2 linked regions of the Stegostoma tigrinum genome follow. The protein of the gene in region 1 purifies or fractionates together with the protein of each later gene. This does not show direct contact. Links are inferred from orthologs where the notes say so. Each region holds a gene or a part of one and is shown on either strand. Other genes may lie near its edges.

The links.
Region 2: the proteins of ap3b1a (region 1) and AP-3 complex subunit sigma-1 fractionate together in Homo sapiens (co-fractionation; 5 studies listed by BioGRID and IntAct, counting the BioPlex papers as one, with this or other methods). This does not show direct contact. The link is inferred for Stegostoma tigrinum from reciprocal best matches to the Homo sapiens genes AP3B1 and AP3S1.

The regions. Positions count from the first base shown.
Region 1 is NC_081356.1:107,904,517-107,913,101, forward strand, and holds the start of ap3b1a (AP-3 complex subunit beta-1), read right to left. Parts: upstream 4,122-8,585; 5' UTR 3,972-4,121; coding exon 3,835-3,971; intron 1-3,834. UniProt on the Homo sapiens protein: Subunit of non-clathrin- and clathrin-associated adaptor protein complex 3 (AP-3) that plays a role in protein sorting in the late-Golgi/trans-Golgi network (TGN) and/or endosomes.
Region 2 is NC_081356.1:77,147,194-77,156,367, forward strand, and holds the start of AP-3 complex subunit sigma-1, read right to left. Parts: upstream 3,746-9,174; 5' UTR 3,661-3,745; coding exon 3,520-3,660; intron 3,388-3,519; exon of another isoform or gene 2,936-3,387; coding exon of another isoform or gene 2,891-2,935; intron 1-2,890. UniProt on the Homo sapiens protein: Part of the AP-3 complex, an adaptor-related complex which is not clathrin-associated. The complex is associated with the Golgi region as well as more peripheral structures.

The sequences.
Region 1 (8,585 bases):
CAATCTCTGTCATAATTTAATGAAGTGACACACAACAGACTCATGAAATAATAGGGACAGTAGGAACATGGATATGAAACTGGCTGAATGGCAAGAGATGAAGGAATGCTTGCAGTTAAGTTTCCCCAGGGGTGGGTTTTGAGACCTTCACTCTTGCTGATATTTATAATTTAATAACCTAGATCTTGGTGCAATGGATGAAACTGGCATGCCTGAATGATATAAATCTCTGAAAATTTTGAACTGAGAAGCATTATGTAGAAATTCAGAAGGGTTACAGTTCGAGAAATAGGCTGATGTTCAACACTGAAGAGTGTGAAATGACTCATTTTTGAAAGAGCAGGCAATACTAAAGAAAGCACAAGTTATTGAAGGTGGTAGTACAGATTTAAACAGTAGCTAATAAAGCATACACTAACCTAGTCTTTATTAATCAGGAACAAGAATAAGAAAGTAAGGAAGTTATCAAAGAAAAAAGAATTGCAGCTACTAGAAATCTAAAACAAAAACAGAAATTAATTTGATTTTGTTTTGCTTTCTTATTGTCACATGCACCCAAGTAAAGTGAAAAGTTGTGTGCCATACATGCAGATCATAACATATAAAGATCGTAGCATGACTGAACACAGCAAGGATACAAAATCACGATTGTAAAGATGGTGCACAAAAAGCAAAATCAACATCAGATCTGAAATTTGAGCAGTCCATTCAGAAGACGAGTAACAGCAGTGAAGAAGCTTTTCTTGAACCTAGTGTCTAAGTGCATTTAAGCTTTTGTGTTTTCTGCCTGAAGGAAGAAGTTGGAAGAGGTTATAACTGGGGTGGGAGGGTCTTTTCAAAGCAAAGAAGGGAAGATGGAGTCAATGGATGGAAAGCTGGCTTGTGTGGTGATCTGAGGTGTGTGTTGGAAAATCTCAGCAAGTTTGGCAGCATCTGTGGAAAGAAAGCAGAGTTACGGACTTTAAACGTTAATGCTGCCTTCTCTCCACAGATGTTAAACTTGTATATCCTCAACCTGAGCATCACACGTCACCCCATACTATTTTTTTTCAATTCACTCGTGGGACATGGGCATTGCTGGCTGGGCCAGCATTTGTTACCTGCCTTAAATGTCTTTGGAGAAAATGGTGTTGACTGCATTCTTGAATCACTGCAGTCCATATACTGTAGGTTGACCCACAATGCCCTTAAGGCAGGGAATTCCATGATTTTGACCCGGTGAGAGTAAAGGGATGGCAATATATTTCCAAGTCAGGATGGTGGCTGGCTTAGAGGTGAACTTGCAAGTGACAGTGTTCCCATGTATCTGCTGCCCTTGGCCTTCCAGATGGAAATGGTCATGAGTTTGGAAAGTGTTTTCAAGAATCCTTGTAATATCCACAAGCTGCAGTTCAAAAATTCACCAAACTGGTCCTACTGAGCATTGGAGGAGGGGTTGTGGTGTAAGTCAAGTGGGCCACTTTGTTCCTGGACGGAGTCAAGCTTCTTGAGCATTGTTGGAGCTGCTCAAGTGGGCAGTATTCCGTCACATTCCTGACATGTCAAGTAGGTGGTGGGCAGACTTCAGGCAGTCAGATGGAGAGTTACTCGCTGCAGTACTCCTAGCTTATGAACTGCTGTTGCAGTCACTGCGCTTCTGTGCAAAGCCCAGTCTTTGTCAATGCCAACCCCCAGGATGTTCGAAGTGGGACATTCAGTGATGGAAACACCGTTAAATGTCAAGGGGGCAATAGATTGTCTTCAACTGAAGATGGTCACTACCTGGCATTTCTCTGACACAAGTTTTGATCACTACCCTGAACAACTCCAGCAGAGGTGCCCTACAGCTGAGATGACTGGCTTCCAACAATAACAACCACTTTCCTATGACTCCAACTAGCACGGAGTTTGCCCCCCATTCCCATTGATTACAGTTTCCCTAAGGCAACTTGGTCCCATTTGGAGTCAAATGTGGCCATTATGTCAAGGACTTTCACTCTCCCCTCTGGAATTCAGCACTTCTGTCCATATTAAACCAAAACTGTAATAGGGTCAGGAGCTGAGAGCCCTAACAGAGCCAAACTGGGTGTCAATGACCAGGTTATCGCTGAGCAAGTGCTGTTTGACAGCACTGCTGAAGACATTTCAACACTAACACTACAATGGCTTTAACAGGTGTATTTAGTGCTTCGTTTTGAAGAAAGGTTGAGACAGAAGTATGAGCAATCTGCTTCAAAGCCCATAAACCCCAAAGTGGCTTTGGACTTTTTTTCCTAAATTTGGAAAAGCAGTAGCCTGAATGAGTCATGTCAAGCTCCCACAGAACTAAGATTTTTAGTTTTAGTTTTTCAGTGGCAGTTGCTGGGGTCTTGAAGCTGGATGTGGAAGCTGTTTTTTCTCTCTCTGTTACAGCTAAAAGCTGGGGATTCTCTTCCTGCTGCTAGAATTGCATGTGAGACACTATTTTATTGAATTTGCCTTTGCCAAGGGTGTATTTAAGAGTTAACTAGGTGTAGAGCTGGATGAACACAGCAGGCCGGCTGATGTTTCGGGCCTAAACCCTTCTGCAGAAATTGTGCTCTGATGCTGCTTAGCTTGCTTTGTTCATCCAGCTCTACGCCTTGTTATCTCAGATTCTCCAGCATCCGCAGTTCCTGCTATCTCTGTGTTTAAGAGTTAATGTTTAGCAGTTAGTCTGTTATTGTTAAGTATTCCAGCAGTTAGGTTATTTGAATTTTTATTGTGTTTTAACTAAATGTGCAAATAGTGGTATTTTTTGCTTCAAGACTGGTAGTTGACAAATCAAATTGTATCTGGAACACCACACCTGACCTAGGCTGTCATAATGATGGGGTGTGCGCACACTTGGTGGTTAGTCTAGTCTGGTCTGGTCTGGTCTAGTCTAAAAGGATAGGAAGTAACTGGAAAAAACACACAAAACAATGAGTGTGGTTCCAGGGATAAGGAACTTCAATTACATGGGTAAACTGGAGAAGTTTGGGCTACTTATTTTGTAGAAGTTTAAACAAGATTCAATGGAGATATCCAACATCTCACAGGCCTCTCGACACGGTAGAATACTGAACTAAAACCCCACTGTTAGAAGGCTCAAGAACAAGATGCTGCTGTTGGAGTGGACAAGGTCAAAAATCATATTACACCAAGTTTAATCCAACAGGCTTATTTGCAGACAGAAGCTTTCAGAGTCTCATCTGAAGCCAGAGCGGAACTCCCAGAAGTTGTCTTCGAATAAAGCTGTTGGACTATCGCCTGGGGCTGCAATTTTTGACAGAGAACAACACTGCACAGATTGAAACTAAATGGCAAAAGAAGCAATGGTGAGTGGATGAAAGAGAGTTTTGGAACACATCAACAACCTGGAACAAATAGTCTTAAGGTATAGTTTAATTGTAACATCTAAAAGTGAAGTAGATTATCATTTGAAAGGGGACACTACACAGTCTTAGTGAGATAGCAATAAATAGTTTTAAGTAAATTGCTCATTCAGAAAATGATGCAAACATGACAGGCCAAATAGCCCTTTTCAAAGCTGTCACAACTAAGTCTCTCATCACGTGACGTTTGTAAAGTGGCCATACTCAATAATTTACAGCACTTCAATCTAAAACGAAAGCTGGGGAAAAAAAGCACCGATGTAATGGACTAAGTACTTGCTCACAGTAAAGTGTTTAGTCGCCTTGGGACATGGATCAGCACGAAAAAACAAGTTTGCCAAAGGCCTTTCACGAAAACTATATTTCACAACAAGGACTAGTAGCACGAAAGAGTTCCTGTATCAGAGAACGGAGCAGAAGGAGTGTGTAAAATCCGGCATTCAGGCGCTCTTTAACCTACTTCTTGTAGTCTACGCTGAAGAGCCGGAACCCAGCTGCTGCCCCTCCTCCTGAAGTCACTGCCGAGGCTTCTTGGCCCAACTCGGTCGATTCACTTCCCAGAGCCTGATCATTGTAGGACGTGCTGTTGGTCGCCATGCTCGCCCCGTGTCCCGGGCACCAGCTGCCAAAGTGGTGTGAACAGTTAGTTTAATCTGGGTAATGTCGAAAAGTCCCCGCCGCCTGCCAGCCGGTCCCAACTCGAGCGACACCGGAAATCTGCCGGGGGAGGAGGTCAGCTGACACCGAGGTCACATGACCCGGCGATACCATGGAAACGCCCCTTGCACATAACCGTCGTGACGCCGCCCTGCTCAACTGGAGGGGAAAGAGTTGCTGTTTTCTTCTTTAAAAACACTCAATGCAAATTCGTGGTAAGGACGTAAGAGACGGAGTAGGTCACATTTATAATCACACGTCCCTTTCCAAAACGACGATGCCAAATTCAGGGAGTCGTCGTACAAGAGGAAATTGGCTCAGAAATATAAGTAAGAAACGTCTCAGGTTTGTTTGTTGGATGGAGTCAAACTCCTAATGTGTGTGTAGTTATCCATATGCTACTGTACAGAAACGACTGTATGTACATAAAGATATGTCTATGAATAAAATATGTTTTTAAAGTTACGGAAAAGTTGGCCCACAAATGAGCCAAATGAAATGAATGAGATGAACAGTGGTAAATGAAAGGTAATTGAAACTCAGTGTCAAAGCCCATGTAATGTAAGAAGGAACATGCTCTCAGAGCATCACCACTCTAATTATTACAAAGGGTTACACTCTAATAATGTTACTACTATGCACCCAGAGAGAAAAAGGGAAAAAAAAACTTGGAAATGTACTGGTCATATTAGAGCACTATTGATACTACAGACAGGTTGGACTAGTATGCATCATTTGTAATTTTTACTGGTATTTCATCAGGATTTTGAAAATATTTAGCAAATCTTTTAGATTTCTTCTGCACTGTCTAAAATGAACACAAAACAGAACAAGCTCTTTGGACCACCTTGAAAAGCATTAACATCCTTCTTGTACACATACTCCAGCTGCTATATAATTTCATTGTAACCTCCCTGCTCCTATTAATGAAATGTAGAATACTGAATATGCTTTATTGACAAAGAACAAAGAAAATTACAGCACAGGAACAGGCCCTTCGGCCCTCCAAGCCTGCACTGATCCAGATCCTCTCTCTAAACTGTTGCCTATTTTCCAAGGATCTGTGTCCCTCTGCTCCCTGCCCATTCATGTATCTGTCTAGATACATCTTAAATGATGCTATCATGCCCACCTCTACCACCTCTGCTGGCAATGCGTTCCAGGCACCCACCACCCTCTGCGTAAAGAACTTTCCACGCATATCTCCCTCAAACTTTTCCCCAGTCACCTTGAAATCGTAGTAATTGAGTCCCCCACTCTGGGGAAAAAGCTTCTCGCTATCCACCCTGTCTATACCTCTCATGATTTTGTGGACCTCAGTCAGGTCCCCTCCTCAACCTCCGTCTTTCTAATGTAAATTACCCTAATCCACTCAACCTGTCTTCATACCTAGAAGAGACAGTTCTCTCTTTGTCTTGCCACTTTAAATGACTTATGTATAAATACCCAGACCTTATTCTCTGACACACCCTTTGGAAAAGTGTAGTTTCTTTTATTCTGTCTCTACACATGTTTGTACCAAAATGTATCTCCTCATACTTCACACTGAACTTTATCGACCCACTCAACAAAAGTGCCAATGTTCCTTTGAAGTTCTGTGTTGTCCTCTTCAAACTTCCAATTCTCCTGAGATTTCTGTCATCCACAAGGTTGAAAATTGCACCTAGCACATAAGATCTCAATCATTTATTCCTATGTTAGGAAAAGCAAGGATTCCAAAAGTGAACCCTGGGGGACTTCACTACAAACCTGGCAGCACAAAAAGTATCCATTATCTATTAAGCTCTGTTTCCTATCTCAGTCAATTTTGTATCCACATTGCTACTGTCCCTTTTATTCCATACGTGATAACTTTCTTAATAAGTCTGGTTTTTGTGTGGCACTGTATTGAATGCCTTTTGGAAATCCATGTGCACCATATAACAGCTTTGTCCTCACAACAACAATACAAAAGGTCGAGCAAATCAGTTAGACAAGATTTTCCCTTAGTACGTCCAGACTGACTCTTCTGAATCAACTGATATTTTTTCATATGTTATTACCTCTATTCTGAAAAATTGTTGGCATAGTTAACACCAAGAAGGAAAGCCTTAGTCTATAGGGCTATATAGACAGACTGGCCTGGTGGGCTGAACAGTGCAAATGCAATTTAATCCTGAAATGTGTGAGGTCATGCATTTTGGGAGAATTAACAAGGCAAGGGAGTACCCCTTGAATGGTAGGACTCTAGGGAGCGCAGTGGTTCAAAGAGACCTTTGTGTGCATGTCCATAGATCCTTGAAGGCATCAGGACAGATAGATAAGGTCATGAAGATAAGGTCATAAGGAATACCTACCTTGAATAGTCAAGACATTGAATACACAAGCAAAGAATTGATGATTGAGCTGTCTATAAAATTGGTTCGGCCAAAGCTGTAGCACTGTATGGAGCTCTTATTGTCACTATAGGAAAATGTGATTGCATTAGAGTCAATGCAGAAGAAATTTACCATGATGTTGCCTGGACTGGAGTTAATCAGCTATGAAGAAAAACTAAATAGAAAAGAAGAAGAATTGGCTGACAAGGAATCTGATTAAAGTATACAAGGTTAAATAGATAGAGAGAAACTTTTTCCCTTAGCAGAGGGGTCAAAAACCATCTACAAGATGCACTGCAACAACTCACCAAGGTTCCTTAGATAGCACCTTACAAACCAGTTCTCTCTAGAACATTAAAGGAAAAGGACATCAGGTACATGAGAACAGCACCACCAGCAAGTTCCCCTCCAAACCACACACCATCCTGACTTGGAACAACATCGCCATTCCTTCACTGTCTCTAGGGCAAAATCCTGGAACTCATGGATTGTAGCAGTTCAAGAAGGCAACTCACTACCATCTTCTCAGCACCAATTAGGCATGTGTAATAAATGCTAGGCTAGCCAATGTTGCCCACATCCCATTAATTCATAAATAAATTTCAAAACACACCAACATGTTTAGGTTTAAAATTAGGCCTTGCAGATGATGAATTCAGAAGGCAACAAGAAGGGAGAGGAAGAGTATTAAAGAAGGAAAAGTAAAGTATACAAATAGAGGCCACCAAATTCAGGAATTTTTATTAGAGTGCGGGTGAGAAGATGAGTCTATTGTGAAACACCTTGAGAACTATTGAATTTGATTTTGTTTGTATTGTCAATCATGAGATGTTGTATTAGCAGTAGATGAGACAATATTGCTCAAAAAGTAAGAATATCAATAAAAAACAGTCCCCCTACACAACATCTGTGTTCTACTTCAACATTTTTTCTTTATCTCTTTATTTGTATCTAAGATTTGTACCTAGGTATTTTGTATCTGAAATGACACCAAGTGGGGCAACATTGTAAACTTTTCACTGTACTCCTGTACTTGAGTACTAATGACAGTAAACCTACAGGGCATTCTGCTATAATGCGCATTCCAGCAACACGAATTGAGAATGATGCAATTGACAAATCAGTGAATGGTATTTCCACAGTGCGAACTTTGTGTTGGCTGTAACATGATTCCGTTGAGTCCACTGGACCTGATGTTATTGAATGTTTTTCTTTGATTCACAATACTCAAGGTGAAACCTAACCATTGATTCATAAGGTTTTAGCACAACTTCCTTTTTGTTAACTATGCATCTATTTATATCCATAGTCTAACACCTGCCTTTCTCACCAAAACCTCAGTTACATACTTCCAAGCTGAATTATTTTCAACAGCTGCGTATCTTTGACTTAACTACAAATCCTAATCCCTCCTTTTGCTCCGACACGAAATAAATGTGGAACATTCAAAGGTTGATGAGGTTTGCGTGCAAGATTTCATGGCTGCCGTCAAAGCTACCCTAAAGAATTTGTATAAAAATAGTCAACATACCAGTTCTTGAAATATCAGTTCCCTCTTCTGGAACCTGTTACTGTATAACAGTGAGGAAAATTTCGGGTTTGCTTGGCTGTGGAGCAGGTAGTTTACCAACATTCACCGTCGAGTTCTGTATGGAGAACAGTCACTTGAGCAAGATTGAGAAAGGCCAGTGGCTCCTGTAGAACAGGTCCGTCCAACAGGTGGACCAGGCACTGGACTGTGAATATTCACTTCCCAGCCATGGTCATACTGCAGCCACATTTCCGTAATGACAATTAGATCATATCAGTTCACTTCAGTTAATGCTGTCTTTTCATCTGCTTTGTTGCAAATGCAGGGAGTGTTTTAGTGATAGTGGAGTTTAAAGGGATGGATAGAGGTTATAGAGATAGGTTGGGAGGTTTATACCAGCTGCGGAAAGCTACATGGATACTGGGAATTGAAGGAACGGATAGATTTGGTCTTACGAAGGTTGACAGGTAATCAAGAATGTTACAGTTTCGGAGTTACGGAAAATTGCAGATGCAGGAGGTACGGGGGCTGGATTAGATTCCAGAGATAGGCATAGATGCAGGGAGCAAGAGACACACACAAACACACGGAGCTTGAGTGTTGAGTGATATTTTTTGGTGCTCTGCTCCTAACCTTGCTTTTCCTATCGGCCCTTTATCTCAAAAG
Region 2 (9,174 bases), about 31 Mb from region 1:
AACCAAGTTTGGTATACTTGCCTTTATCGGTCAGTACATTGAGTAAGAGAGTTGGGATGTAACGTTGTGCCTGGACAGGGCATTGGTTAGGCCACTTTTGGAATATTGCATTCACTTCTGGTCCCCCGCTACAAGAAGGGTACTGTGAAACTTGAAAGGGCTCACAAAAGATTTACAAAGATGTTGTTGGGGCTGGAGGGTTTGAACTGGGGCTATTTCCCCTGGCGTGTCAGAGGCTCAGAGGTGAATTGAAAAATTTGTAAAATTATGAGGGGCGTAGATACAGTTGCCGAAGTCTTTTTCTCAGGGTAGCAAAGTCCAAATCTAGAGGGCATAGTTTTAAAGTGAGAGGAGAAAGATTTAAAAGGGACTTAAGGAGCAATTTTTTCATGGAGGGCAGTGCGTGTATGGAATGAGCTGCCAGACAAAGTGTTGTTGCAATTATACTAGCCTCCATCTGGATGGGTATGTGAACAGGAATGGTTTAGAGGGATAAGGGCCAAGTGCTGGCAAATGCGACTAGACTCATTTAGGATATCTGATCAGCACGGATGAGTTGAACTGAAGAATCTGTTTCCATGCTGTACAGCTCTATGGCTCTAAGAGACTAAGCTTGTATTCTTTAACAGTTTCAAAGAATGTGACGAAATCTAACTGAATCTTGCAAGATTCTTAAAAGAGACAAACAAGATAGATACAGAACAAATATCTCTTCTGGCTGCAGGGTCTAAACCAAGCCACAGATTCTAAAAGATAAGGGGCAAGCATTGAGATGAGGAAGAATTCCTCGGCTCAGGAGAGGGAGGAATCTTTAGTGTTCTCTGCCCTAGTGGGCTTTGGAAACTCTAACTGTATGTAGTCAAGACAGATAATAAAATGTGAGGCTGGATGAACACAGCTGGCCAAGCAGCATCTCAGGAGCACAAAAGCTGACGTTTCGGGCCTAGACCCTTCATCAGAGAGGGGGATGGGGGGAGGGAACTGGAATAAATAGGGAGAGAGGGGGAGGCGGACCGAAGATGGAGAGTAAAGAAGATAGGTGGAGAAGGTGTGGGTGGGGAGGTAGGGAGGGGATAGGTCAGTCCAGGGAAGACGGACAGGTCAAGGAGGTGGGATGAGGTTAGTAGGTAGCTGGGGGTGCGGCTTGGGGTGGGAGGAAGGGATGGGTGAGAGGAAGAACCGGTTAGGGAGGCAGAGACAGGTTGGACTGGTTTTGGGATGCAGTGGGTGGGGGGGAAGAGCTGGGCTGGTTGTGTGGTGCAGTGGGGGGAGGGGATGAACTGGGCTGGTTTAGGGATGCAGTGGGGCATCTGCCAATCTGCCAATGTGGTATACTGCATCCACTGTACCCGGTGCGGCTTTCTCTACATTGGGGAAACCAAGCGGAGGCTTGGGGACCGCTTTGCAGAACACCTCCGCTCAGTTCGCAACAAACAACTGCACCTCCCAGTCGCAAACCATTTCCACTCCCCCTCCCATTCTCTTGATGACATGTCCATCATGGGCCTCCTGCACTGCCACAATGATGCCACCCGAAGGTTGCAGGAACAGCAACTCATATTCCGCCTGGGAACCCTGCAGCCATATGGTATCAATGTGGACTTCACCAGTTTCAAAATCTCCCCTTCCCCCACTGCATCCCTAAACCAGCCCAGTTCATCCCCTCCCCCCACTGCACCACACAACCAGCCCAGCTCTTCCCCCCCACCCACTGCATCCCAAAACCAGTCCAACCTGTCTCTGCCTCCCTAACCGGTTCTTCCTCTCACCCATCCCTTCCTCCCACCCCAAGCCGCACCCCCAGCTACCTACTAACCTCATCCCACCTCCTTGACCTGTCCGTCTTCCCTGGACTGACCTATCCCCTCCCTACCTCCCCACCCACACCTTCTCCACCTATCTTCTTTACTCTCCATCTTCGGTCCGCCTCCCCCTCTCTCCCTATTTATTCCAGTTCCCTCCCCCCATCCCCCTCTCTGATGAAGGGTCTAGGCCCGAAACGTCAGCTTTTGTGCTCCTGAGATGCTGCTTGGCCAGCTGTGTTCATCCAGCCTCACATTTTATTATCTTGGAATCTCCAGCATCTGCAGTTCCCATTATCTCTGTAGTCAAGACAGAGATTGATTGAGTTTTCAATACTAATGACATCAACAGATACCTGGATGATGTGTGAAAAAGATGTTGAGATAGATTATCTGCCATGTTAGAACATGGCAAAGTGGATGCAAGGGGCTAAATGGCTGATTCCTACCCCTAATTAAACTCTTGCCAAAGACTGGAGAATAAAACTAAGTTAACACACCACACCCATCAAGAGGTGATGTTCAATTCACAGTGATCTGCTTTCTAAGCCGGTATATGAAAAAAAACCATGACATTTCTTTTGAGCAGCAGCAAGGGAGTGATCTCTAGCATCCTTGCCAATACCAACAGATTCAAACACACAGTTTTTGAATTATTGCATGACTATTTGAGAGACCTTGTTGTATACAAAGTGGCTGCCAGGTGTTCTTCAGCGCAAGAGATCGTATCAGTTCTGACGATGGTCACTGGACTGGAAAGTTAACTCTGATTTTCTTTACAGATACTGTCAGACCTGCAGAGTTTCCTCCAGTACTTTTTGCTTGTTACAGTCCATACCTCATTGGCTGTAACGCACTTTGCCACTATATAAATGCACTCTGTATTTGCAATAGTAATTAGGGTCTGATAAAACTTTATTTTTGTAGGAATACTAGAACGCTGTACAGTTAGACACATAATGCCTATCGCCTTCCAAGTCTCCGATGATCTCACATCTCAACCTTAACTACTGATGTGCCAATATATCACAGCCCTTTCCCTCAGACGCCCCCCTAATTAGAAAGCATTTATCACAGGATGAACTCACAGGGTAGCCGCTACTGGATTTCAACCGCTCCTGCCTTTCCAACATGTAGTTCGAAAACTTTTGCTTTCGATAAACTCAAAAGGTACTTCGTCCCAATGCGTAAATAACAAATGTTGCTTTAGTTTAGTATTTTTCTTCTTCGCTGAACTTTAAATGTTTGTTTTGTCTGACCTCGTGTGTTAAAACAACGCTTCGTGCAGCCGATGGCTGTATGCTGCAATTTCGCAACCACATAGATCGGGGAGGACAACCTGAAGAACAGCGTTTCGAAAGAAACACCACCTATCTCTGCTTTGGAATATTCAGTACAGCTCATTGAAATAAAGCCTGGTGTAATCTGTACACCAACTTTACAGTTGCCGACGGGCAAATCTTCGAATTCAAAATACGGTGCTCGAGTGCCGGTGGGCGAAGTGGAGCGGTTCTACTATGCGGCTGTGACAGCCCAATGTAGAAGCTCACTTTGAGAGCAAGACTCCGTCTCTGTGATGACGCCAGGTTGCTCCGAGCGCAAGCCCTACTTTGGAATGTGGCCTGGAGCGCGTGCCCGGTTTAGATGTACAGACCGCACGCGGAAGTTGACAGTTTAACGGGCGCTTCGATCCCGGCCCTCTCTCCCTCATACTCACATAGCGCTCATAAAACTTGGAGAGCCGCGGCTTGCCATGGTTGTTAAATATCAGGATGGCTTTAATCATGACGACCGGACAGCCCTCTTCCCGGAGCACCGACTGGCAGTTGAGAATTGAAACGAAATTTCTCCGAAACATGAACGTAAAAACCGAGGTGGGCGGAACCGAACCCGAAGTGAAGCGTCCGTCACAGGAAACTTCCTCCCAGCTGCCAGCCCTTTACACCGTGACGGCAACCACCACCGTTCAGGAAAGTCATTGCGCTATTTCGAAACGCCTATCAAACGGCCTTAGAGATAACTTTAGGAACACCCGATTTAGTTTCTGAGTGGGATTTTCTTTTTTAAAAAAACGTCGTAAATTCAAGACGTTTTAAAATGGGCTTAAGTTAACAAAAAATGTATTAAAGCTTTTCACGCGATTTTTTTGGCAGTGGTGGGTGCTAGACTGCTCGTTTATTAGGGTACTTAATGATTTCACAGTCTTCTGTAGGTATTTTCTATCACATTGAGTAAAACGAATACATACTTTTAACGGTCTTTATTGAACGATTTTATTCCTATCTTCCGTCGGAAGATCAGAGATTTTCAAGAGTCAAGATCAGGATTCCATGTTGAATGACTTCCTTTGGCACAATGACAGGTGCATAAAGGTGCGGGTGGGACGGAAGGCGAAGGTTGACATTTGGAATATGTCCAAACGGATTGACTTTTTTCCTCGTAGAGTCATAGTGTTATACAGCACCGAAACAGACCTTGCAGTCCAACTCATACTCGCCAGTTAGATATCCTTCACATGGTATTCTAAAAGTGACCTTACCAATTTCCTGTTTGTCCGTATCATGAATTCCCAACTCCTGTACTCAGTGCTCTGATGAATAAAAGCTAGTGTGTCAACACCTTCCTCACCATCCTGTCGACCTGCAACTCCACTTTCAAGGAAATATGCATTTGGACCCCAAAGCCTCATTGTTCAGCTTCCTCTGGTCCTACCATTAACTGTGTAAGTCCTGTCCTGGTTTTCCTTACCAAAGTGCAACACTTCTCATTTATCTAAATTAAACTCCTGCCACTCCTTGGCCCATCTAATCAAGGTCCCAATTTACACTGAGATAACCTATTTTACTGAAGAAGGGTCCCGACTGAAATGTCAAGCTTTGCTGCTTGGCCTGCTGTGTTCATCCAGCTCTACGCCGTGTTATCTCTAACCTTCTTTACTGTCCACTTTGCCAACAATTTTAGTGTCATCTGCAACTTTACCAACCATACCTTTCATATTTCACATCCAAGTCATTTATATAAATACCAAAAAGCAATGGATACTATTGCACACTGCTGGTCACAGGTCTCCAGTTTTTTAAAAAAACCTTCTACCACCAGTCTCTCCTACCTTCAAGTCAATTTGTATCCAGTTGGCTAGCTCCACCGAATCCCACGTGATCTAACCTTGCTAAGCAGTCTACCATGTGGAACTTTGTCAAATGCCTTGCTAAAGTCCATGTGGACAAGGTGTACTGCTTTGCCTTTGTAAATCTTCTTTTTCGCCTATTCAACAAACTCAATCAAGGTAGTGAGATACAGTTTTTCACAGACAAAGCCATGTTGACTATCCCTAATCAGCCCTTACCTTTCCATATACATATAAATCCTGTCTCTCAGAATCCCGTCTAAGAACTTACCACTGGCACTAGGCTCACCAATCCATAGTTTCCTGGTGTCTCCTTACTACCTTTCTTAAATAAACCACATTAGCCGCCCATCAGTCATCTGGCACCTCACTTGTGACTATTGATGATACAAATATTTCATCAAGCACCCAGCTTCCCTCAAAGTTCTGGGATACAGCTGATCAGGACTTGGGGTTTATCTGTACCTAGCATTTTAAGACCTCCAGCACCTCCTATGAACACTTTTCAAAACATCACTATTTATTTCCCAAGTTCTCTAGCTTCCATGTCCTTCTCAGCAGTAAATACTGATGTGAAATATTCATTTAGTATCCTATCCATCTCCTGTCGTTCCACACGTATATGGCCTTGTTGATCTTTAAGTGTCCCTATTAGCTCCCCAGTCTTTTGCCCTCAATGCATTTGTAAAATCTCTTTCGATTCTCGTTAACACTATTTGCCAAAGCTCTCTCGTCTCCTTTTTGCCTTTGTGAAATCCCTCTTAAGTACACTCTTACTGCCCCATACTATACCCCAACTGTCTACCTAACATGTACCTCCCTCTTCTTGACAGAACCTCAAGTTTTCTAGACATGCAGAATTCCCTATACCTACCAGCCTTGCCTTTTGCACTAATAGAAACACACTGTCTCTGAATTCGTATTAATTTGTTTTTGAAGGTCTCCCATTTTCCAACTGTATCTTTAGATGTGAACCTATCTCCCCTAATCAACTTCCAAAAGATCCTTCCCAATACTGTTACATTTTGCCTTACTCCAATTTAGAACTTCGACTTTTAGATCAGGTTTATCCTTTTCCATAATTATTTTAAAACTAGTAGAATTATGATCACTTGCTCTAAAGTGCTTCCCCACTGGCACCTCAGTCACTTGCCCTACCTTATTTCCTAAGAGAAGGTCAGTTTTGCTCCCCTAGCTGGTACACCCACGTACTGAATAAGAACGTTTTCTTATACACGCTTAACAAATTTCTTTTCAACCAAGCTCTTAACACTATGGCAGTGCTAGTCTATGTTTGGAAAGTTAAAATTCCCTACCATTACAACCTATTCTTCTTGTATATCTGAGATGTCCTGACATATTTGCTTCTCAATTTCAAACTGATTATTGGGGGCCCTATAGTACAATCCCAATAAGTTGATCATCTCTTTCTCAGTTCCACCCATGTAACTTCACTGGACGTTCTTCCAAGAATGCCTTGCCTAAGTACAACCTAATGTTATCCACAACCAAGAACTCCACTCACCCTCCTGCTTTGCCCCCACTTTCTATCTTCCCTATAATTTCTGTAGTCCAGAACATTAAACTGCCAATCTTGCCTCTCCCTGGGCCACGATTTTCAAATAGATATAATTTCCCAGTCCCACATTCCCAATCATGCCCTAAATGTATCTGCCTTACCTGTCAGGCCTCTTGCTTTGAAATAAATGCAGTTTAATTTATGAGCCTTACTTCATTCTCTGCTGTGCTCTTGCCTGCCTTGACTCTTTAACTTTCCTTATCTACTATACTAGCCTCAAACCTATCTCTTTTCTCGCTATTTCTTTGGGTTCCATATTTTATTTGTGCCAATTTGTTCATACAACCCCGTCCTAAAATACTTCACTGACTTCAACATTGTTAGGGAGCAAAAGTACAAAATTAAGATGACAAGTTGTCCTTAGTTATGTGAACACTGACATACAGACAAACATTTTGTAGTTAGTTTCTGCAAGCTGATCAGATTTCCTTTCAGCTAAATGCATCTGTTGAAGTATAATCAGAAACAAAAACAGAAATTGCTGGAAAAGCTCAGAAGAGTAGATCCAATACCTTGGAAATATCACATCCGCTGAGAGCTCTAAAACATGTACATCAAATTTTTTTCAATCATTTAAGAATATTTAGCTTGGATTTGCTGATGCAATCAGATTCAGCAGCCTCCTTCGATAATGTATTCCCCACAACCGTCAATCCTTGAATGATGTAGTAGTTAAGATTTTCTACAACGCTTAGTTAATTTTCAATACAATTCAAGTAGAGACAACTTTGAGTTAAGGATTGGCTGTGTTACCATTTTAGCTACAGCCATATTGTGGTACTAATGCAAAATTATATGCATACTGCTCTGCTGAATATTTATCAATTTTCTAAGACAGGCAGGAAACTTCTCATATTTTTTGCGGGATCTTATCTAACTTATTACTCTAGTTTATCTTGGTTCTTATAGCAAACAAAGCTCATGTTTTAAATCTTCAAATCTTTAATAATGTCCATCCTGGCCTTGAGGCTTACTTCAGTAAATAGCTGTGAGCCCAAGTAAACAAATAGACAGCCCTGATAATAAAATGTGAGGCTGGGTGAACATAGCAGGCCCAGCAGCATCTCAGGAGCACAGATGCTGCTGGGCCTGCTGTGTTCATCCAGCCTCACATTTTATTATCTTGGATTCTCCAGCATCTGCAGTTCCCATTATCACAAATAGACAGCCCTGTTTGATAACTGTGGAGGCTAATCAGCTTGTGCCTCTTTCTGAGACAAAAAACAAACTGCAGATGCTGGAATCCAAGGCAGACAAATAGGAGGCTGGAAGAACACAGCAAGCCAGGACAGCAGAAGGGTAATTACTTAAAGTTTTGACTCCTCCTTTCCTCCAGATGCTGCCTGGCTTGCTGTGTTCTTCCAGCCTCCTGTTTGTCTACCTGTGCCTGTATCTGAACCTACTTCACTTGCAAATGTAGTATAACAAAATGTTTTGAAATTCAATTTAATTTGAAATTAATTTATGAAACAAATAATAATATAATGTATCATGTGGCAATGATATAACAGTCATATGCAGCCACATGGCCCTCTTTAGTGGTCTTGTTATAAATTCATTACTAAAATGGTAACAACCAGGTAAGGAGGAATTGAATGGCTCTCTTGTTTGTATCGCCTTGCTTGACTGTAAAGGTGTTTTTAAAAACTGCTATTTTAAACTGCTGAACTAATGTTTGTAATTAACTGTATGTGCCAGTGGTAAGGATTAGTCAGACAGGTTCCTTTGGGTTTTTGACAAATATTGAGTCAAGTTATTGTACTGGAAATGACCCATGGTAAAATCATTAAAGGGTTAACACATTTCCAAAATGCAATGCAACTCTCAAAATCCATGCACTCAATTATAGATGAAGGAGTCATGGCAAAGGAGCAGCACAGATGAAGTGTAAAGTAGGCAAATTTGACTAAATATGAAATAAAAGCATGTCATAGCTTATAGCTGGTATCCTGGTCCCTCTGATATTCATAAGCCACTGAGTTGATGTTTCAAAATATGGGTGGGTATTCTTTGTTCTTCAGCAGATGCTGCAGTAGACATTTAGACGTTTTTCCTGAGGAATTCTCTGTGTGCTGGCAGAGATATAGACTGAGATCAAGTTGCAGCAAACTCTAAGGTTAGTTGTTATATTGAAGGGGGAAGGAGATAGAGCAGCTTTTTGTCCCTTCTGCCATTGCATTCTATTTCAGACCAAGTCCAAATTCATGCACAAAGCTTATTTGGTTACATGATTCCTCTCTAACTGCCATTAAAGATTTACGAATCCATGCTATATTTCAAACGACAGCTTTAGTTCACATCTGCACATCGTATTCGCTGATTGTCCTCTTGTATACTTTTTGTCTCCATTTTGACACAAACTGTTAATACCTGTGCAGGAGTGTATTGTTTCTGGTGAACTTCCTAGAGCTTGTGACTCTGTGGAATGAAATGTAGCTTATAGTAATGCAAATTACAGGCTATTTGAATCCGTTCAGAGTCCGTTTGTTTCAGTGAAATTCCTTTCTTTTAAAAAGGAAGTCCAAAATGTGAATCCAACTAATGAAGTATAAAAATTAATGTTTGATGCAGTAACTCTTCACAACTAAATGCAGTGAAATGTTAGAATTTACCCCAAAAAAGATTTCAAAGAATGTCATAATTCCTTTTCAGTTAGAAATTGATGG